Linked DNA regions of Macaca mulatta. The protein of the gene in region 5 purifies or fractionates together with the protein of the main gene of each other region. This does not show direct contact. Links are inferred from orthologs where the notes say so. Each region holds a gene or a part of one and is shown on either strand. Other genes may lie near its edges. The genes, in order: ARPC2, ARPC4, ARPC3, ARPC1B, ACTR3B and ARPC1A.

The links.
Region 1: the proteins of ACTR3B (region 5) and ARPC2 purify together in Homo sapiens (affinity purification with mass spectrometry; 6 studies listed by BioGRID and IntAct, counting the BioPlex papers as one, with this or other methods). This does not show direct contact. The link is inferred for Macaca mulatta from reciprocal best matches to the Homo sapiens genes ACTR3B and ARPC2.
Region 2: the proteins of ACTR3B (region 5) and ARPC4 purify together in Homo sapiens (affinity purification with mass spectrometry; 5 studies listed by BioGRID and IntAct, counting the BioPlex papers as one, with this or other methods). This does not show direct contact. The link is inferred for Macaca mulatta from reciprocal best matches to the Homo sapiens genes ACTR3B and ARPC4.
Region 3: the proteins of ACTR3B (region 5) and ARPC3 purify together in Homo sapiens (affinity purification with mass spectrometry; 6 studies listed by BioGRID and IntAct, counting the BioPlex papers as one, with this or other methods). This does not show direct contact. The link is inferred for Macaca mulatta from reciprocal best matches to the Homo sapiens genes ACTR3B and ARPC3.
Region 4: the proteins of ACTR3B (region 5) and ARPC1B purify together in Homo sapiens (affinity purification with mass spectrometry; 5 studies listed by BioGRID and IntAct, counting the BioPlex papers as one, with this or other methods). This does not show direct contact. The link is inferred for Macaca mulatta from reciprocal best matches to the Homo sapiens genes ACTR3B and ARPC1B.
Region 6: the proteins of ACTR3B (region 5) and ARPC1A purify together in Homo sapiens (affinity purification with mass spectrometry; 5 studies listed by BioGRID and IntAct, counting the BioPlex papers as one, with this or other methods). This does not show direct contact. The link is inferred for Macaca mulatta from reciprocal best matches to the Homo sapiens genes ACTR3B and ARPC1A.

The regions. Positions count from the first base shown.
Region 1 is NC_133417.1:123,440,737-123,444,236, reverse strand, and holds part of ARPC2 (actin-related protein 2/3 complex subunit 2), read right to left. Parts: intron 2,222-3,500; coding exon 2,109-2,221; intron 1-2,108. UniProt on the Homo sapiens protein: Actin-binding component of the Arp2/3 complex, a multiprotein complex that mediates actin polymerization upon stimulation by nucleation-promoting factor (NPF).
Region 2 is NC_133407.1:148,589,266-148,592,704, reverse strand, and holds part of ARPC4 (actin-related protein 2/3 complex subunit 4), read right to left. Parts: intron 3,146-3,439; coding exon 3,050-3,145; intron 871-3,049; coding exon 700-870; intron 1-699. UniProt on the Homo sapiens protein: Actin-binding component of the Arp2/3 complex, a multiprotein complex that mediates actin polymerization upon stimulation by nucleation-promoting factor (NPF).
Region 3 is NC_133416.1:117,616,724-117,620,996, reverse strand, and holds the start of ARPC3 (actin-related protein 2/3 complex subunit 3), read left to right. Parts: upstream 1-1,473; 5' UTR 1,474-1,550; coding exon 1,551-1,556; intron 1,557-4,273. UniProt on the Homo sapiens protein: Component of the Arp2/3 complex, a multiprotein complex that mediates actin polymerization upon stimulation by nucleation-promoting factor (NPF).
Region 4 is NC_133408.1:46,617,962-46,621,461, reverse strand, and holds part of ARPC1B (actin-related protein 2/3 complex subunit 1B), read right to left. Parts: intron 2,668-3,500; 5' UTR 2,655-2,667; coding exon 2,591-2,654; exon of another isoform or gene 2,566-2,590; intron 1,764-2,565; exon of another isoform or gene 1,755-1,763; coding exon of another isoform or gene 1,715-1,754; coding exon 1,610-1,714; intron 362-1,609; coding exon 139-361; intron 1-138. UniProt on the Homo sapiens protein: Component of the Arp2/3 complex, a multiprotein complex that mediates actin polymerization upon stimulation by nucleation-promoting factor (NPF).
Region 5 is NC_133408.1:192,281,514-192,284,804, forward strand, and holds the end of ACTR3B (actin-related protein 3B), read left to right. Parts: intron 1-877; coding exon 878-961; intron 962-1,874; coding exon 1,875-1,970; 3' UTR 1,971-2,791; downstream 2,792-3,291. UniProt on the Homo sapiens protein: Plays a role in the organization of the actin cytoskeleton.
Region 6 is NC_133408.1:46,586,768-46,590,267, reverse strand, and holds part of ARPC1A (actin-related protein 2/3 complex subunit 1A), read right to left. Parts: intron 3,146-3,500; coding exon 2,933-3,145; intron 1-2,932. UniProt on the Homo sapiens protein: Probably functions as a component of the Arp2/3 complex which is involved in regulation of actin polymerization and together with an activating nucleation-promoting factor (NPF) mediates the formation of branched actin networks.

The DNA.
Region 1 (3,500 bases), on a different chromosome or scaffold from region 5:
TGTGGTGGCTAGAAGAATAGCAATGTGTTCTGGAGCTCCATTGTAAGAAAAGCACAGAATGGAAAGGAGATATAAGAAATCTAGCTTAACTCTTTCTTTTCAGGATTATTATTATTGCATTTAGATCTTTTCCCTTTTTTGAGATGGAATCTCACTATGTTGTCCAGGCTGGACTTGAGCTCCTGGGCTCCAGCGATCCTCCCCACTTGAACCCCCAAGTAGTTGGCACTACAGGTGCATGCCACTGCGCAGGCTCGCACCTAGTGAAGACTGTCTAGGGGAGAATGATTACACAATTTAAAAAACGTCTGTTCAAATACTGTGACACTTCTTATCAGGTAGTTATAGCTAATTCAAAGCAGGGCTGCAGCTGGACGTGGTGGCTCACATCTATAATACCAGCACTTTGGGAGGCCCAGGAAGGAGGATTGCTTGAGCCCAGGAGTTCGAGACTAGCCTGGGCAACATAGTGAAACCTCCTGTCTATAAAACAAAACAAAACAAAAAATAAGCTAGGTGTGGTGGCACGTGCCTGTAGTCCCAGCCACTCAAGAGGCTGAGGTGAGAGGACTGCTTGAGCCTGTGAAGTTGAGGGTGCAGTAGCTGTGATTGTGCCACTGCACTCCAGCCTAGGTGACAGAGCAAGACCTTGTTTAAAAAAAAAAAAAAAAAAAAGGGCTGGGCACAGTGGCTCACACTTGCAATCTTAGCACTTTGGGAGGTCGAGGCAGGCAGATCACCTGATGTCAGTAGTTCGAGAATAGTCTGGCCAACGTGGTGAAACCCCATCTCTATGAAAAACACAAAAAATTAGCCAGGTGTAGTGGTGCTTGCCTGTAATCCCAGCTGCTCAAGAGGCTGAGGCAGATGAATGCTTGAATCCAGGAGGCAGAGGCTGCAGTGAGCCGAGACAGCACTACTGCAGTCCAGCCTGGGCAACAGAGGGAGACTCAATCTCAAAAAAAAAAAAAAAAAAAAAGGCAGGGCTGCTTTAATAGCCATTTGTTTTCTTTCGCTCTTTATCTGGTAAAGAAGTGTCAGCCACTATCTTTTACAAAACAATTCTTCAAAAGCTTTATAAAAGCACTAGATCTTTCTGAAGCTTTTCTTTTTCCAGTAAAGTAACCAGGATTCCAAATTCTCTAAATGTTTCTTCTTTCTTTGAACTTATGAGAAAATCAATTGCATTTGAATAACTAAGGGAAGTAACTGATCGCTCTTGGTATTAAGTAAGACCAACTTCAGTTTTTATGCTAAAAAATTAAACAAGCTTTTGACCATATTCCTTTACAAATCATCTTTTATTATATAAATTTTAAATAATTTAAAAGCTACTACTTTTCAAAAAGAAAACAGCTACGATTATATCTTCATTTAACAGATTAAGGAGAACCTAGTTTGTTAAAACTAAGAAATTTGAAAACTGATTCAGGAACTGAGTCATATTTCCTGCTTTGAGACCCAACCACAACGTGCACAAACTGGTGTAATAGCATTTTCTTTCTTCCATAAATGGTTCTCCCCAGAGCAAATACAGTTCAACAGGAACCAAACCTGCTACTTAACTATTTAAAGAAGCCAGTGAACAAGGCATGGCCACCGAAGTTTCATAATGTCTGGACGTCCTTTCTTATTTCCCCTATGGCAGTTATAAAGAAGAGATATTTAAAGAGGGTAGCTTTAAAGAGCTTTAATTAAAAATTTCAAAAGACAGCTATTTGTGCCTAAGCTTCCAGAATGAGAACCTGAGACAATAAAATTTAAACAAGCTAGAAATTATCTATTTGCCTTGATAATATTACAAAAATAGGACAGAACCTAATTCTTGCAACAGCTATTTTTGTCCTGATCAAGGAAAAGTATTCTTTGCTATGTTTTTGGAGAACTAAAGTTGTTTTCGTTTCCATTGTTTTAAAGCAAGCAAGAAAGAGTCAAAACCTTTTCTAGAGACACACTTAATTCATTATAGTAATCAAGTCAAGAGCCCCTAGTTAGGTGAGCAAGTAGTCATGCGGGGGTGATTTAGTGCCATGGATCTTCCATGAATGGCAAACTGCCAATAAAAGGTGAGGAAACAAGAGTCCTACGGAAAATGATGTGGACCTTACCTCATCAGCACCATGTGCCTGAAGTTCCTTGTAGAATTTCAAAGAAATACTGACCATCACTTTTGTTTTGTCTCCATTAGGATTTGAAATATGATAGAGGACCCCATCAAAATCTGTGAGGAAAGCAAGTAAGATCGTATAACAATTTGGAAATGGGAAATAATCTCTCCAAGCGCCTACCTTGCTGTAGGCCACAAGGAAGACCTGTTACAAGGAGGCATATAAGTAAAACGGAATTTATTTTAAATCCATGTGACAAATCAGCAGAAACACTGGGATAGAATTGCTGAGTACTCATCTCTTTGCCCTTTCTTAAAATTACAAAGCTATTCTTTCCTTAATCACAGCTTGGTGCTGAAATAATTGGATTTTACATGTATACAATCAGAACAAACAGTATAATGAACTCCCATCTCCACCATGAGGCTTCAACTTTTTTTTTTTTTTTTTTTTGAGACAGAGTCTTACTCTGTTACCCAGGCTGGAGTGCAACGGCATGATCTCGGCTCACTGCAACCTCTGCCTCCCGGGTTCAAGAGATTCTCCTGCCTCAGCCTCCCGAGTAGCTGGGACTACAGCATGTGCTACCACACCCGGCTAATTTTTGTATTTTTAGTGCAGACAGGGTTTCACTATGTTGGCCAGGCTGGTCTTGAACTCCTGACCTCATGATCTGCCCACCTCGGCCGCCCAAAGTGCTGGGATTACAGGCGTGAACCACCTCGCCCGGCCTCAACAATTATTAACACATGGGTAATTATTGTTTCATTTAGACATCCTCCTTCCCATTGATTTATTTTGAAGCAAATCCCAGACACGACACATAATTTCATCCATAAATACTTCAGAATGTATCTTTGGAAGATACAGAAGACTGTTAAAAAACATAACCATGATACAAGTGTCATGCCTAAATTTTTAAAAACAATTTCTTAATATCAAATATTCAGTCAAGGCCGGGCACGGTGGCTCAAGCCTGTTAACCTAGCACTTTGGGAGGCTGAGGTGGGTGGATCACTGGAGGTCAGGAGTTCAAAACCATCCTGGCCAACATGGTGGAACTGTCTCTACTAAAAATACAAAATATTAGCTTGGCGTGGTGGCACACGCCTGTAATCCCAGCTACTTGGGAGGCTGAGACAGGAGAATCACTTGAACCCAGGGGTAGAGGTTGCAGTGCGCTGAGATTGCGCCATTGCACTCAAGTTTGGGGGACACAGCAAGATGCAGTGTGGGAAAAAAAAAAAATTAGCTGGCTGTGGTGGTAGGAATCTGTAGTCCCAGCCACTTGAGAGGCAGAGGCAGGAGAATCGCTTGAACTCGGGAGGTGGAGGCTGCAGTGAGCAGATTATGAGCGCCACTGCACTCCAGCCTGGGTGACAGAGTGAGACT
Region 2 (3,439 bases), on a different chromosome or scaffold from region 5:
ATACACTAAGTCTACCATCTAGAGATCACAGCCACTCTGGGTGGAACATATCAACAAACCGAAGATTGTTTGGAAAAAGGAGAAAAAAAAAGAAGGCATGTTCTGAATATCTAAACAACTAAGAACTATGTCATCAGTTCATCAATGTAAACAATTCTACCTCTTCAAATGACTACGTGCTTTCAATTAGAAAGGCATAAACAATGTAAGAGGAATCTGGAGGACTGATATCATGCAAGTGATAGAAAACAGGTTGAAGGAATCACGACTAAGCCTGAGAAACATGCTGAAGGGAAGTACTGAAGTCTATTTGAGAAGTGGAATTATAACATGATTAACTGTCCTATATTCCTAGAAAATTCACATGCAGACTTCACTTGCCTCGCTTGGGGTTTGAATGAGATAGAGGTAAGGCCTTTGTGAATATCTTGAGATGTAGAAATGAGTGTCCAAGTTCCTATGAGGGACTAGGAGACATCCCAGACACCCAAACATAGAAAACGCCTTGTAGCTCTCAGAGATGAACTTGGGGTCCTCTGGCTCCAAAGCACCTGACTGACCTGCTGTGCCCAGGGGTCCTAGAGAGCTCAGAAGATATAAACACACTGCTTGGACCCCTTTCCCACCAGATGCTAAGTTCTCAACATGACCCCCAGATCCTTTGGCCTCTGGAAGGAAAGCTGAAAGGCCCCTACTCACATTCTTAAGGAACTCCTCAGCCACAATGCGGGCACGGGCATTGACTGACAGCTTCATCTCACTGATCTCCTTGTCAATCTCCTCCATGAAGTGGATCACAAAGTCTACCAACTTGTGTTTGTACATCTGCTCTGTGTGGAAGTTGGTGATCAGAAAGCTGATATCATATCCCTAGGGAAGAAGACAGTAGGGAGGAGGAAGAGAAGGAACAGGAGAGAATTAGCACCCCAGGGGAACTAAGCTGGTCACGTCCTCCACTCATCCACATGGTTCCCACTGGCTGTGATCTTCTCCCAAGCTACACACCCTTCCAGTCAGCAGCCCAGCTGCTCTGGGGGAGAGGGTGTCTAGGTTGGATCCAAGCAACTGAACCCAGTTGAGAATTCTGTGTGTATCAGACATCTCTGGAAGACTATCTGTGGCACAAAGAACTCTGCATTGAGAATGAGTCAAGGGACTTGAAGTCTTGTTACAGAAGAATCTAATCAAACAACAGGGAACATTTCGTTCAGAGAAGAGATGATGTGGAAGATGGGTGGGATTAAGGTCTTTTTCTGCTGGAGGGCTGTGGGAGGAAGAGCAATTTTATTTATTCCAGGTGGCCCCAGAGGTTAGATCTAGGACCAGGAGAGAAAATTTGGCTCAGGATGAGGAAGAACTTGGCCAACACGCCTGACGTGTCTGATGATGGCACATGCTGCTGTGTGGTAGTTGCTCAGTCACTGGGGATATTTTAAGTTGACCTGGCAAGGAGTCTGTGGAGAAGATTCAAGTAAAAATTCAGGCAACAACTGACCCAATGTTAACTGTGGCTTTAAAAGACTGATTTGGTGGGCCGGGCGTGGTGGTTTATGCCTGTAATCCCAGCACTTTGGGAGGCCGAGGTGGGTGGATCACGAGGTCAGGAGATCAAGACCATCCTGGCTAACACGGTGAAACCCTGTCTCTACTAAAAATACAAAAAATTAGCCAGGTGTGGTGGCAGGCGCCTGTAGTCCCAGCTACTTGGGAGGCTGAGGCAGGAGAATGGCATGAACCCAGGAGGCGGAGCTTGCAGTGAGCCAAGATCACGCCACTGCATTCCAGCCTGTGCGACACAGCGAGACTCTGTCTCAAAAAAAAAAAAAAAAAAAAAAAAAGAAAGAAAAAAGAGGCTGGGCGCAGTGGCTCACGCCTGTAAACCTAGCTGAGGCAGGTGGATCATGAGGTCAGGAGATCAAGATCATCCTGGCTAACACGGTGAAACCCCGTCTCTATTAAAAATACAAAAAAATAAGCCGGGCATGGTGGCAGGCACCTGTAGTCCCAGCTACTTGGGAGGCTGAGGCAGGAGGATGGCATGAACCTGGGAGGTGGAGTTTGCAGTGAGCTGAGACTGCGCCACTGCACTCCAGCCTGGGCGACGGAGCCTCCGAGACTCCGTCTCAAAAATAAAAAAAAAAAAAAAGAGAGACTATGATTCACTTTGGGAGGCCGAAGCAGGCAGATCACCTGAGGTCAGGAGTTCCGAGACCAGCCTGGCCAACACAATGAAACCCTGTCTCTACTAAAAATACAAAATTAGCCAGGTGTGGTAGCGTATGCCTGTAATCCCAGCTACTCAGGAGGCTGAGGCAGGAGACTCGCTTGACCTGGGAGGTGGAGGCTGCAGTGAGTGAGATTGTGCCACTGTACTCCAGCCTGGGCAACAAGAGCAAAACTCCATCTCCAAAAAAAAAAAAAAAGAGAGAGAGAGACTATGATTCAGTTGGCAGAGCTTAGAAAGGATTTCTAATTCACTGAGCTCTTTCTGATGCTAGACTATAGGCTCTGGGAATAAGCAATATGTCTTACCTTTTCTGCCTTTTTTTTTTCTGAGACGGAGTCTTGCTCTGTTGCCCAGGCTGCAGTGCAGTGGCACGATCTCGGCTCACTGCAACCTCCGCCTCCTAGGTTTAAGCAGTTAGTTCTCTGCCTCAGCCTCCTGAGTAGTTGGGATTACAGGTGCCCACCACAACGCCCAGCTAATTTTTGTATTTTTAGTAGAGACGAGGTTGCACCATGTTGGCCAGGCTGGTCTTGAACTCCTGACCTCGTGATCCACCCACCTCGGTCTCCCAAAGTGCTAGGATTACAGGCGTGAGTCACCACACCCGGCCCTTTTTCACCTTTTCTATGGCTGAGGTAGACCCAACTTTTCCTAAGTTTCTAATCCTCTTTGCTCCCACTCTGAGATGAAGGCCAACTGTCAATTCAGGCAGTGGGTGCCAAACAGCTGGAGGAGCACTGATCCTGGTTCTAGAAACAATCCCAGGCCATTGCGATACGCAGGGTCCTGGGTATCGCAAACTCATGGGTCACAGGGTCTCACCTCCACAGGCTTCCTTCGAAGGATAAAGAAGTTCTCTGCTCGCATCATCATGAAGCGCATGAACTTGTGGCATAAAATCTTCTCGATCTCATCGGCCTGCGGAGTGCAAGAGAGAAACGTTTCTCTAAAGCTGACACCCAAGGCCAAAAACACCTTGTAGCCTGGTCTTCTGACTCCAATTTCTCCAAGGCTCCCAGGAGACAGTGAGGTTTGGTACTCGGAAGGATCACTGAAGTGGGGGACCTGGCTGCCAGCTGAAACAAGGGTCTACCTTGGGCCATCTGTTAATGAGGACCCATTCCAGAGAGGTAATTCTTATAGTCTTCTATGGCTTCTTTCAGAGTCTACAACTGTACTCCAAGCTGCCCTTCCCATTCTCATTTCACTAGT
Region 3 (4,273 bases), on a different chromosome or scaffold from region 5:
GTGGAGAAAAAGTGAAGGACCCGATTCCAGTGCCTTCCCCACTGGACACTAGGGTTTCAAAGATGAATCTGACAATTCCAGTCCTCGAGGATTTCACTGTCTCATAGGCAGGGCTGACATGATTCTTTACACAAATTTACTGAAGTTCTATGGATGCCAGGTACTGGGGATAGAACAGGGACTCACAGTGCAGGCAGCGCTTTGCTCACGTGGGGCTGTCATGCTGGGCTGTGAGACTGAACCTCGGAGAGAGGATGGAAAGAACAGAAAGCAGAAAAGAAATGGAGAGTGACTATGGGGCTACTTTGGGCTCTTTGTCAAAAAAGACCTTGCCTAAAAGGTGCTATTTGCCCAGTCACCTGAATGCGAAATCAGATGTGGGAACATGGGGCTCTATTCCAGGCTGCGAACTGGCAGAAGAAATGGCTCTCAGGTAGCAATGAACTTGACTTTTAACGTAAGTTTTCTAGTAATAAATAGGTTAAAAACTCCTGGGCTTTCGGTATGCTCCAAGCATGTAAGTTCTAAGCATTTTACATGTAATTCATTTCATCGTCACAAAATTATGAGGTAAATATTGTTACAACCATTTTCAGGTGAGGAACTGAAGTACAGAGGCAAGTTAACTTGCTCAAAATTATAGAGCTAGTATGTATTGAAGCTGCGATTCAGATTCCAGTGCCCTTCAGTTTCTCCATTTTTAGATGCAGTGCATTGGGTTCATTCATTTACTCAAATACTGATGTTTCCTACATACCATCACTGTTACAGGCGCCAGGGGACAAAACGGGCGAAGTGCTGTCTGGCATTTACAAGGATAGGGAGACAAGCACTAAGAGTAAACTAAATACAAGAATCATAAGAACTAAGGGAAAAAGCGGGAGAGAAGGATAAGGCATGGGGCTGGAGTCGGGTGAATTGAAAACAGAATGACCAGAGGCGGCTTCACAGGAAAGGTGTTTTGTTTGTTTGTTTAAGATAGAGTCACACTCTCACCCAGGCTAGAGTGCAGCGGCACGATCTTGGCTCACCGCAAACTCCGCCTCCCAGGTTCAAGCGATTATTCTGCCTCAGCCTCCCGAGTAGCTGGGATGCTACCACGCCCAGCTAAGTTTTGTATTTTTAGTAGAGACGAGATTTCACCATCCAGGCTGGTCTCGGACTCCTGACTTCAGGTAATCCACCCGCCTCGGCCTCCCAAAGTGCTGGGATTACAGGCATGAGCCACTATGCCCGGCCCTGAAAAGGTGAAATTTGAAAAAAACACAAAAGAGGTGATTGATCGAAGATTCTGGAACCTCAAGACCCATCTCCATTCTGCGCGCGCCTCACGCTGCGCCACTCTGAGGGCCCCTACCTAGCGCTCTGGCGCCCCCTTTCAGATCCGCGCGGCCGCTGCAACCAGAGGCGGAACTACAAAGCCGGAAGCTCACGTCATCACCCCGCCCCTTCCGTTTCGCTTCCGCCTACCCCGCCCGGGCTGCAAGACCGGAAGCGCTCTGCTCTACCTGGATTCTGCTCCTCTGGGTTGGAACCCGGGTGCTGCCAAGATGCCGGTGAGGGTTCGATCCATGGTGTGGGGAGACAGCGGGGATTGCGAAAAGCGGGGAGAAACCTTGTGTGTGCCGAGAGAAGCGGGCGGCGGAAGGCAGAGAGGAAGCGGGGGCCCGAGAAGGAGTGAGGCGAGGGGAGGGGACCGGTCGCTGAAGAATTGGGACAGCCCGCGGGTGCCAGTCGTGGGAGGCGGGGGCGCGGCAGGAGTGGGCCCGGGGTCCAGGGGTCCAGGGTGTGTGAGGAGGCCCTCTTCTCTCTCTCTCCGTCTACTCCTTCCGGCTCCGGCAGGGTTCCCAAAGCGTCACTACAGCGCGAAGCCAAGGGTTGCCCTTTTTATTTTTCATATTTCAAGTCCAGGGTCTAGCTTCTCCTTTTTCTGTGAGGCCCACTTCCTCCTCCGCCCCGGGGGGCAGGCTCCCTCTGCTGTTTGTCATTTGTCAGAACCCACTTCCCGGCAGCGGCGGCCACCCCGGAGCCACCTGGGTATAGGGCCCTCACAGACTCGGTCGGCGCCTGACTTCCAAAGATTTCCTTTTTCGTGTGCATCAGAGTGGGAGTAAAAATCTATGACGGTCTGGTTGTACTTAATTTCTGACAGGCAGTCTGTGGGCTAGATTTATCACCATCATGGTCTCCATTTTGCAGATTCGGGAAAAGGTGGTTCGGTTATTGTGTGATTGTTCACACTTTTTTTGTTTTTTGAGAGAGTCTCGTTCTGTCGTCCAGGCTGGAGTGCAGTGAGGCGATCTCGGCTCACTACAACCTCCGCCACCTTGGTTCAAGCAGTCCTCGTGCCTCAGCCTCCTGGGTAGCTGGGATTACAGGCGCGCGCCACCACGCCCAGCTAATTTTTTGCATTTTAGTAGGGACGGGGGTTTCACCATGTTGGCTGGGCTGGGCTGGAACTCCAGACCTCAGGTGATCCGCCCCCTCGGCCTCCCAAAGTGATGGGATTATAGACATGAGCCACCGCGCCCAGCCTGCTCACACATTATTTTTAACAAACGTTACCGAGCACCTACTGCCTGCCAGGCTCTATTTACAGCAGCAAATAAGTTCAACAAATCCCTAATCTTAAACAGTGTACGTTCAAATCGGGAGACGAGACAATAAAAGTGTAAACATAAAGGAGATACATACAGTAGTGTCAGGTAGTGACAAATGCTATAAAGAAGCTAGATGGATGGCCAGGCGCGGTGGCTCACGCCTGTAATCCCAGCACTTTGGGAGGCCTAGGCGGATGGATCACGAGGTCAGGAGTTCAAGACCAGCCTGGCCAACATGGTGAAACTCCATCTCTACTAAAAATAAAAAAATTAGCTGGGCGTAGTGGCGCGTGCCTGTAATCCCAGCTACTTGGGAGGCTGAGGCAGGAGAATCGCTTGAACCCAGGAGGTGGAGGTTGCAGTGAGCCAAGACTGTGCCACTGCACTCCAGCCTGGCCACAGAGTGAGACTCTGACCCCCCCACTCCAAAAAAAAGAAACTAGATAGGTAACAAGACAGTTTGGTGAAAGGGAAGGCAGAGGGTGCTTTACATAAAGTATACTTGTGATGAAAAGGAGCAAGCCATAGTTGCAAATACATATATATATAGATATATATAGATAGATTTTTTTTTTTTTTTTTTTTTGAGACAGGGTTACACCCCGTCTCTGAGACTGCAGTGCAGTGACACAAACTTGGCTCAGGTGATCCTCCCACCTCAGCCTCCTGAGCAGCTGAGACTACAGGTGTACATCACCACGCCCAGCTAAGTTTTTCTATTTTCAGTAGAGACAGGGTCTCACCATGTTGCCCAGGCTGGTCTCAAACTTCTGGGCTCAAGCAGTCCTCCTGCCTCGACCTCCCTGAGTGTTGGGATTACAGGCGTGAGCCACCTCATTCAGCCTCACAAATACATATTTTATGAATTCCGTAATTACCATTTGACTCCTGAGCTCTGGGGTACACACTTTATAAATTATCCCATCTAATCCTCATAATGACCCTGTGAAGTAGGTACCATGATTCCTATTTTACAGAAGAGGAAACGGAACCTCAGAGAAGTTAATTTGGACAAAGTTGCCTACTAATGGTAAAACCAGATTTTAAGCCAGGACTCTAGGCTGGGTACAGTGGCTTATGCCTGTAATCCCAACACTTTAGGAGGCCAAGATGGGAGGATCACTTGAGCCCAGGAGTTTGAGACCAACCTGGGCAACATAATGAGACCCTGCCTCTACAAAAATAAGAATAAATTAACTGGATGTGGTAGTGCATCTCCTCCCAGCCTCTCAAGAGGCTGAGGTGGGAGGATCACCTGGAGCCAGGAGTTTGAGGCTGCAGTGAGCTGTGATCATGCCACTGTACTCCAGCCTGGGTGAGAGGAGACTCTGTCTCCAAAAAAAAAGGACTCTAAAGCCCTGTACTGGCTCCAGTTGCACATAGAGCACCCTGGATTCACCCTGGGTTGGTTGGTTGGTTGGTTTGTTTGAGATGGAGTCTCGCTCTGTACCAGGCTGAAGTGCAGTGGTGCGATCTCGGCTCACTGCAACCTCTGCCTCCTGTGTTCAGGTAATTCTCGTGCCTCAGCCTCCCAAGTAGCTGGGAATACAGGCATGTGCTACCACACCCGGCTAATTTTTGTATTTTTAGTAGAGATGGGGTTTCACCATGTTGGTCTGGATGGTCTCTATCTTTTGGCCTTGTGATCTGTCAGCCTCGGCCTCCCAAAGTGT
Region 4 (3,500 bases), about 150 Mb from region 5:
GGCCCAGAGAGGAGAGGATGGACTCCCCAGGGGTCATGGGAACAGGGGTCCCGACATCCCATTTGGTGCTTCCCGGGGAAACTCTAGTCCTGCCCCCAGGTCCCTACCAGCCCACTCCAGCCCCGCCCAGGTACCCACCAGTCGTTCTCCTGCTCGAAATAACAGATGGAGATGACACGGGAGCCGCTGCCCACAGCAAACTTGTTCTCATTGGGGGCCCAGCGCACGCAGCGGGCGGCCCGGTTGATCCGCAGGATGACCAGAGTGGGCTTCCACGTGCGGCCCTTCAGCGTCCACACGTAGGCATTGCGGTCTGTGCCGCAGGTCACAATACGGTTACTCTCGGGGGCCCAGTCGATGCCTGTGGGGGGATGGAGGGGACACAGGAGGCTGACGACACTCAGGCAGGGGTGGCTCTATGGTGGCCACACAGGAGAGGCTGAAAGGCCACAATCAAGGTGGAAGCTTTATCTGCCCAGTAGGCACTTTTTTTTTTTCTCTTTGAAATGGAGTCTCACTCTGTCACCCAGGCTGGAATGCAGTGGCATGAGCTCGGCTCATTGCAACCTCTGCCTCCCAGGTTCAAGCAATCCTTGTGCCTCAGCCTCCTGAGTAGCTGGGACTACAGGTGTGTACCACCAATCTTTCTCTTTTTTTTTGACATGGCGTCTCATTCAGCCGCCCAGGCTGGCGTGCAGTGGCGTGATCTCAGCTTACTGCAACCACCATCTCCCGGGTTCAAGCGATTCTCACATCTCAGCCGCCCAAGTAGCTGGGATTACAGGCACCCACCATCATGTCTGGCTAATTTTTGTATTTTAGTAGAGATGGGGTTTCACCATGTTGACCAGGCTGGTCTTGAACTCCTGACCTCAGGTGATCCGCCTGCCTCAGCCTCACAAAGTGCTGGGATTACAGGTGTGAGCCTCCGCACCCAGCCTCTTTCTTTCTTTCTTTCTTTGTTTTTATTGAGACACAGTTTTGCTGTGTCGCCCAGGATGGAGTGCAGTGGTGTGAACTCAGCTGACTTCAACCTCTGCCTCCTGGGTTCAAGCGATTCTCCTGCCTCAGCCTCTGGAGTATCTGGGACTACAGGTGTGTGCCACCACACCAGGCTAACTTTTGTATTTTTCAACATTTTGTCATGTTGGCCAGGATGGTCTCGAACTCCTGAACTCAAGCGATCCACTCTCCTTGGCTTCCCAAAGTGCTGGGATTACAGGCATGAGCCACCACACCCGGCCCAGCAAGCACTTTTTACTGAGATCCAGTGCTTATTTAGAGTGACACCAGGGGGCACTCCTAGAGCTTATGAGGGAGTGTCAGAGCCCTCCATGCTATCAGTAAACATGCTGGAGGGCAAAGCCAAGAGGCAGAAAAGATGGGTTCTTGGTCATGTGGAGCTGCTGGATCAAGCCTCTCCTGAAGCCCTCAACCCTCTTGGGTTTTTTGGTAACATGAGGCAACACAGTCCCCTTAAAATTGAAGCCAGTTTGAATCAGGGTTTCACAGTGAGTGGGTAGATGCCCCATAATGAGTGGCCATGTCCTGCCTTGCACCCCACCCCCCACCTCCTTTCAGGAGGGTAGTCCCAGCCACCCTGACATACCTGTCACCTGCCCGTTGTGTTCCTTGAGCTCGTGCACCTTGGTCCATTTGGCACCGCTCTTTTCGTAGATGTGCACCTCATGGTTGTTGGGGCAGATGGCAATCTCTGCAGGGGAGATGGAGGGAGACTGAGGGGCCCTCTCCATGACTGCCCTCTGCCAGGACACACTACACAGTGCACCTGGGCAACAGCCTCATCCTTCATGACTCAGGCTCTCCTCCTCTGCCTTGGAGGGGGCCCCCTGAAGTCCTTCAGGCCCTGCCAGTTCACCCTCTCTTCTCCTGGGACTGACTGTCCTTTACTCGCAGCAATGACCCCTGGGACCTCTCCCCACCCTATCGCTCTGGCCAGCCAGGGTCCCCTCGCTGCTCCTGCTGACACCTCAGGGCCCCTGCACCTGCCAGCCCCTCCCCAGCTGGGGCAGAGTTCCCTCCCTCTCCTCCTCTGGGTGTCTGTGTAAATGTCAAAATGTCATCTCCTCCAAAAGGCTTTTCCTGGCCACTTTTTCTTTCTTTTTTTTTTTTTTTTTTTGAGACAGAGTCTTGCTTTGTCACCCAGGCTGGAGTGCAGTGGTGCAATCTCGGCTCACTGCGACCTCCGCCTCCCGGGTTCAAGTGATTCTCCTGCCTCAGCCTCCCCAGTAGCTGGGTTTACGGGCGCATGCCTCCACGCCCAGCTAATTTTTGCATTTTTAGTAGAGACAAGGTTTCACCATGTTGGCCAGGCTGGTCTGGAACTCCTGACCTCAAGTGATCCACCCACCTCAGCCTCCCAAAGTGCTGGGATTACAGGCGTGAGCCACTGCACCTGGCCCATTCCCTCCTTAAACTTTAACCCAGGAGACCCCTGGTCAGCTGGAAGACCCAGGGGTGAGGCCCGGGGACAGCCGCATGGAGCCTATGGTCCGGGGGCCTGGCTGCTCCAGTCTCCCCATCCCAGGAGGTAGAAGCAGCCACCCACCGACCCCCAGCAAGCACTCACGGCTGCGGTCCTTGTTCCAGGCGTGGCAGCTGATGGGCTCCACCAGGAAGCTGTGGTAGGCCATGGCGGCTTGGCTCCTGTGCCCAAGAAAGGAAGAGAGAATCCACGTCAGCCCTGACCTTGCCCCTGACTTTACCCGGATACCAGGCCCCAGCTGATCCTCAAGGGCCTCACACCAGGGAGGCCCCTCAGTCTAGAGAGGCAGCTGTTTGCAGAGACGAGCAGCAGGGGCCAGCCCTGGCTCCTAACTGGCCTGACATGTTGCTTCCCCTCCTGGGGCCTCAGTTTCCCTCCTTATAAAAGGGCAGCTTTCACGGGATATCTCTGAGGCTCCAGAGACAGAGTGGAGGAGATAGTACTACAGGGGAGATGCTCCCTGGGGCGGGGTGGGGTGCTAGGACTCCAAGCCGGACAGGCCCCTCACTTGTCACCTGTGCCTCAGTTTCCTCACAGGATGGACCCCCCCCAACTTCCCTGCCCCATTAAGGATGGGATGAAGATGAAGTCATCCAGGCCAGGCCTGGTGGCTCATGTTTGTAATCCCAGCACCTTGGGAGATCGAGGTGGGTGGATCACTTGCAGCCAGGAGTTCAAGACCAGCCTGGCCAACATGGTGAAACCCTGTCTTTACTAAAAATACAAAAAATTAGCCGGGTGTGGTGGCGGGCACCTGTAGTCCCAGCTACTCGGGAGGCTGAGGCAGGAGAATGGTGTGAACTCGGGAGGCGGGGCTTGCAGTAAGCCAAGATCGCACCACTGCACTCCAGCCTGGGCCACAAAGCAGACTCCATCTCAAAAAAAAAAAAAAAAAAAAAAAATTAGCCAGGTGTCGTGGCACCTGCCTGTAATACGCACTACTCAGGAGGCTCGGTGACACGGTAAGACTCATCTCAGGAAAAAAAAAAAAAAA
Region 5 (3,291 bases):
TTCCTTCGGAAACGTTCTCGTTAAATGAAAATAACTAACGTTAGCAGGGAGTTACAAGGCGTTTCTCCAAGATAGTAATTCTTAAGTAGCTGGTGATCACTGTGGGCTTCTAACCAAGAGTGGGCTTCGATAGCGGCAGTGGGCGCAAGGAAGAGCGCGCATGAGTCCACTGTTGGAAAAGCACAGTTTCCTTTCCTTTTTTTTTTTTTTGGAGACAGAGTCTCGCTCTGCCACCCAGGCTGGAGTGCAGTGTCGAGATCTCGGCCCACCGCAAGCTCCGCCTCTCAGGTTCACACCGTTCTCCTGCCTCAGCCTCCTGAGTAGCTGGGACTAAAGGTGTGCCCGCCACCACACCTGGCTAATTTTTGGTATTTTTAGTGGAGACGGGGTTTCACTGTGTTAGCCAGGATGGTCTCCATCACCTGACCTCGTGATCTGCCTGCATTGGCCTCCCAAAGTGCTGGGATTACAGGCATGAGCCACCTCACCCAGCCGGAAAAGCACAGTTTCTTTTAGTATTTTGGGGATGGTTAATCTTATTTGGGATGATCTCTGCGGTGCTAAAACATCTGATACGTTTGGTCAAGAAAAAGCAGTGCGGTTAATTGCCTGGATTTTGTGCTTTTTCAGCCTTGTGAGAGGCAGGTTCTGCTTGCCGGGCGCACTGTGTTCCTTTGAGCCCTGGGGGCTGGGATTGTGGTGGGTCTTAGGGGGGATTTGGCAGCAGGGGCAGAGTCACTGAGTGCTGGGTGTGAGGTTGTGCTTGTGCCAGTAAGAGGAGGGCGGCCCCGGGTGAAGCCGTGGTCTCATCAGCTGGGGGATGATTGGATCACAGATGTGTCTGTGCGCGTGGAGTGAGAGCTGCTTTCTCTTCCAGCCAAAGCCTGTGGAGGTCCAGGTGGTCACTCATCACATGCAGCGCTATGCCGTGTGGTTCGGAGGCTCCATGCTGGCCTCGACTGTAAGTCCCTCTCTCGGGCTCTGTGTTTCCATTCCTGTGCTCTCTATTGAGTTTGGGTAAATATCGTCTCTGAAGGTGAAATAGTGTGTGCCCTAATCGTGTGGCTCTAAACAGACAATTCTGTAAAATATAAATTATATCTTTTTTTTTTTTTTTGAGATGGAGTTTTACTCTGTCACCCAGGCTGGAATTTAGTGGCGCGATCTCAACTCACTGCAACCTCTGCCTCCCAGGTTTAAGCAGTTCTCCTGCCTCTGCATCCTGAGTAGCTGGGACTACAGGCGTTCACCACCACACCTGGCTAATTTTTTTTGGTTGTGTTTTTTAGAGATGGGGTTTTGCCATGTTGGCCAGGCTGGTCTTGAACTCCTAACCTCAGGTGATCCACCCCCCTCCAGCTTAGCCTCGCAGAGTGCTGGGATTACAGGCCTGAGCCTCTGCGCCCGGCCCAATATAAACTATGGTCTTAATATATCACACAACACATTTATCACTTATCCTTGCTAATTAGGGGTTACAGATAACATGGTAAGTGGAATCCAAAAATAATCTAAACAAATCCTGCATTAATCATTAATTTCAGTGACTTTTCCAAATAATTCTTACTTTTCCCCTCAAGTCTGTGAACAGCTCACACGGTGGTGGTGGGGGGTCTGTGAACAGCTTACACATTATCACATGTTGTTAGTGGGGGACCAGCATTTGGTTGGTCCTGAGAAGATAGAGGCTGATGAAATTTCTAAAAAGTGAAATGCCCCCCATTTAGTAGTTCCGTCCATCAGAGAGGTAAAACCTTGCAGCAGTGGCCCCGTGAGGGAGGGTGGAGGCCGGGATGAGGGGAGTGTCTTGCCTGCTTGGTGCTTGACTTTCTTCTGAAATGTGTGTCTTTCTGTCTGCCTGTTGCCTCTCGTAGCCCGAGTTCTTTCAGGTCTGCCACACCAAGAAGGACTATGAAGAGTACGGGCCCAGCATCTGCCGCCACAACCCCGTCTTCGGAGTCATGTCCTAGTGTCTGCCTGAAAGCGTCGTTCAGTGGTGTCACGTTGGGAAACAAGTGTCCTTCAGAACCCAGAGAAGGCCGCCGTTCTGTAAATAGCGACGTCGGTGTTGCTGCCCAGCAGCGTGCTTGCATTGCCGGTGCATGAGGCGCGGCGCGGGCCCTTCAGTAAAAGCCATTATCCGTGTGCGACCGCTGTCTGCCAGCCTCCTCCCTCACCCGCCCTCCTCTCCCTCGCTCTCCCGCCGCCCCCTCCTCTTCCGAGCTGCTAGCTGACAAATACAATTCTGAAGGAATCCAAATGTGACTGAAAATTGTTAGAGAAAACAACATTAGAAAATGGCGCAAAATCATTCTGCCCCGGGAGAGAATGTGGGGGTGCAAAACCCTTTTCCTCCCAGCCTATTTTTGTAAATAAAATGTTTAAACTTGAAATACAAATCGATGTTTATATTTCCTATCATTTTGTATTTTATGGTATTTGGTACAACTGGCTGATACTAAGCACGAATAGATATTGATGTCATGGAGTGCTGTGATCCAGAGTTTTTAATTGTGAGGCATGTTCTGATATGTTTATAGGCAAACAAATAAAACAGCAAACTTTTTTGCCACATGTTTGCTAGAAAATGATTATACTTTATTGGAGTGACATGAAGTTTGAACACTAAACAGTATTGTATGAGAATTACTACAGATCTTGTATGTTTTAGTTTTTTTGTTTGAACTTTCTGGAACTGTTTTATAGAAGATGATGGTTTGTTGTCGGTGAGTGTTGGATGAAATACTTCCTTGCACCATTGTAATAAAAGCTGTTAGAATATTTATAAATACCTTTCTGCTGTAGTGTGGTGGTCTGTTGTTTTTCTCCCTGTCGCTGTGCTTCTTTCAAAGAATATTGAGATTGTTTTACATCATTGGCGGATTTGATTAATACCCAGCTTGTGGGAGGAAATGTCTTTTTCTGAATGGTGTGGGCTGCGTGCCCTGCAGTGGCCAGAGGTATCATGGGTCTGGATAACCCATCAGAGATGGCTTATCGTGGGTCTGGATAACCCATCAGAGATGGTTTATCGTGGGTCTGGATAACCCGTCAGAGATGGTTTTGGCATCTGGGGTATAGTGGGAAGGAGCGACTAATGATTTCTGATATTCTTTCCCAGAAATTCAGGATTCATGACTGTAAGCTTTCAGTAACTACTCTGATGTTTGCTGAATGGATTGTTGGCTTGAAAGGTAGTTTGCTCAATTAATAGATTTAGGTTTATTTCGCTCTTCATATAATTCTTATAATTATGTTACTTTAAAAATTGCTATTTATGGTATTTCTTCT
Region 6 (3,500 bases), about 150 Mb from region 5:
ACAAAAATGTATAAAATGTATAACCTCATTTCTGTTAAAAATGAAAAGATATATAAGTGCTTGTTTATGTAGAGAAATTTTCTGAAAGACTACATTTTATAATGGAGGGGACAATCTTTTTTTTTTTTTTTTTTTTTTGAGACAGAGTCTCGCTCTTGTTGCCCAGGCTGGAGTGCAGTGGTGCGATCTCAGCTCACTGCAACCTCCACCTGCTGGGTTCAAGCAATTCTCCTGCCTCAGCCTCCTGGGTAGCTGGGATTACAGGTGCCTGCCACCTTGCCTGGCTAATTTTTGTACTTTTAGTAGAGACAGGGTTTTGCCGTGTTGGCCAGGCTGGTCTCAAACTCCTGACCTCAGGCAATCTGCCTGCCTTGGCCTCCCAAAGTGCTGGGATTACAGGCATGAGCCACTGTGCCTGGCCGGAGGGGATAATCTTTAAAAAAATATGTAAAACTAGCTAAAAAATGCACATTTAATCCTGTTAGGAAAAACGTATCATGTCTGAAATATCATGCTGTTTACACTGGGTGACTCTTACTGACCTGACAGGGAGTAAAGGTCACCCAGTGTGATTGATTTTTGATACTCAAGTGGCCATGTCCATCACAAAACCTTTAATGGTGAGTTTCCTTTAGCTATCAATGGAAAAGGATTCACCAGGGAAGAACAAAGATTGATAAAAGAAGAAGGATTCCAATCTTCTCTCTTCCTCCAACATATATTGAACAAAATGAACTCTGATATTTGGCCAGGTACTTTATGGCTGAGCAGACACACCACTCACAAAGAAGCCACCATAATTAGAGTCCTTCCAGCACACGGCAGAGGAAGTGGCGTCAATGGTTTTTAAGCCTTACTGAATGGAAGGCTCAAATTAATGAAGTCATTGTTTGCTGACTACCCTGAGTAAGAATATATCTCCAATGTAATTTAAGGCCGGTGAATGGTATTTACATTTTGTAAGGAGTTCAGAGTAACAGACTAAACTGGCCTTTTTTTTTTTTTTTTGAGATGGAGTCTTGCTCTCGTGCCCAGGCCGGAGTGTACTGGCATGATCTCGGTTCACTGCAATCTTCACCTCCTGGGTTCAAGCGATTCTCCTGCCTCAGCCTCCCAAGTAGCTGGGACTACAGGCACCCACCACCATGCGAGGCTAATTTTTGTATTTTTGTAGAGACGGGGTTTCACCATGTTGGCCAGGCTGCTCTCGAACTCCTGACCTCAGGTGATCCACCCACCTTGGTCTTCCAAAGTGCTGGGATTATAGGTGTGAGCCACTGTGCCCAGCGTAAACTGGCCCTTTTTAAGCGACCCTTATCAGTAGCAAACCAGGAGGGTTCTTGAAAGGAATCATTATCAGTACTTCCATTAAGAAGTACTTCTGGAACACCTAGGTCTTAAAAATTTTCCAACCCGAGAATTTGTATCTGTGCCTGTCACGGTAAAGGCTGACTTGCAGTTTTTTTTTTTTTTTTTTTGAGACAGAGTTCCGTTCTTGTCGCCCAGACTGGAGTGCAATGGCACAATCTTGGCTCACCGCAACCTCTGCTTCTTGGGTTCAAGAGATTCTCCAGCCTCAGCCTCCTGAGTAGCTGGGATTACAGGCATATGCCACCACACCTGGCAAAAAAAATTTTTGTTTTTTTGAGACAGAGTTCTGCATTTGTTGCCCAGGCTGGAATGCAATGGTGCGATCTTGGCTCACTGCAACCTCCGCCTCCCGGGTTCAAGTGATTCTCCTGACTCAGCCTCCTGAGTAGCTGGGATTACAGGCATGTGCCACCACGTCCGGCTAATTTTCTGTATTTTTAGTAGAGATAGGATTTCTCCATGTTGGTCAGGCTGGTCTCGAACTCCTAACCTCAAGTGATCCGCCTGCCTCAGCCTCCCAAAGTGCTGGGATTACAGGTGTGAGCCACTGCGGCTAATTTTTGTATTTTTAGTAGAGACAGGGTTTCACCATGTTGGCCAGGCTGGTCTTTTTTTTTTTTTTTTTTTTTTGAGACAGAGTCTCACGCTGTCGCCCAGGCTGGAGTGCAGTGGCGCGATCTCGGCTCACTGCAAGCTCCGCCTCCCGGGTTCACGCCATTCTCCTGTCTCAGCCTCCTGAGTAGCTGGGACTATAGGCGCCCGCCACCGTGCCCAGCTAAGTTTTTGTATTTTTAGTAGAGACGGGGTTTCACCCTGTTAGCCAGGATGGTCTCAATCTCCTGACCTCATGATCCGCCCGCCTTAGCCTCCCAAAGTGCTGGGATTACAGGCGTGAGCCACCGCGCCCGGCCAAGGCTGGTCTTGAACTCCTGACCTCAGGTGGTCCACCCATGGCCTACCAAAGTGCTGGGACTACAGGTGTGAGCCACTGTGCCCAGCAAGGCTAATTTTTGTATTTTTAGTAGAGACAGGGTTTCACCATGTTGGCCAGGCTGTTCTTGAATTCTTGACCTCAGGTGATCTGCCCACAGCCTATCCCAAAGTGCTGGGATTATAGGCATGAGCCACCAAGTCCAGCCTGCCTGCAGTTTTGATTGAGTTCTTTTGTTTTATTTTGTTTTGTTTTCTTTTGAGACGGAGTCTCGCTCTGTCACCCAGGCTGGAGTGCAGTGGCGTGATCTCGGCTAACTGCAACCTCCGCCTCCCAGGTTCAAGCAATTCTCTGCCTCAGCCTTCCGAGAAGCTGGGATTACAGGCGCCCACCACCACGCCTGGCTAATTTTTTATTTTTAGTAGAGACAGGGTTTCACCATCTTGGTCAGGCTGGTCTTGAACTCTTGACCTTGTGATCCACCCACCTTGGCCTCCCAAAGTTTTGGGATTACAGGCGTTAGCCTTCGCGCCCGGACTGATTGACTGACCAGGAAGGGCAGTCCTGGTTCAGCTGGTGAGAGATCCCACCCCTTGTTCCCCACCTTCCAAATGAAAGGCAAATACTCACTGCACACTTTTTGAGGCATCAGCAACAGACACGGTGCTGTCGTGGCTGACCCAGGCCAGGCGGCTCCCACTGGCAGAGAAGCTGACCCCGTGGACCCAGCCACCAGTGCCACTGCCACCAAACTCTGACATCAGCTGCCCAAAAGGCATCTTGCTGCCCCAGGGCGTGCTGGCTGGCTTTTCATCCACTTCTTTAATGTAGGCAGAAAACACTCTGTTTAAAGGGCAGAGAGAAAAGGAAAAAGCAAATGAAAAAATATATATCTAGAAACAGGCCATAGGCAGCTGCCACAAGGAATCTCAGAATGCAAAGAGGTTGACTCAATAAAAACAAAAAACATGGGCTGGGCACGGTGACTCATGCCTGTAATCCTAGCATTTTGGGAGGCCTAGGCAGGCGGATCACCTGAGGTTGGGAGTTTGAGACCAGCCTGACTAACATGGAGAAACTCTGTCTCTACTAAAAATACAAAATTAGCCAAGCGTGGTGGCCCTTGCTTGTAATCCCAGCTACTCAGGAGGCTGAGGAAGGAGAATTGCGTGAACCCAGGAGGCGGAGGTTGCAGTGA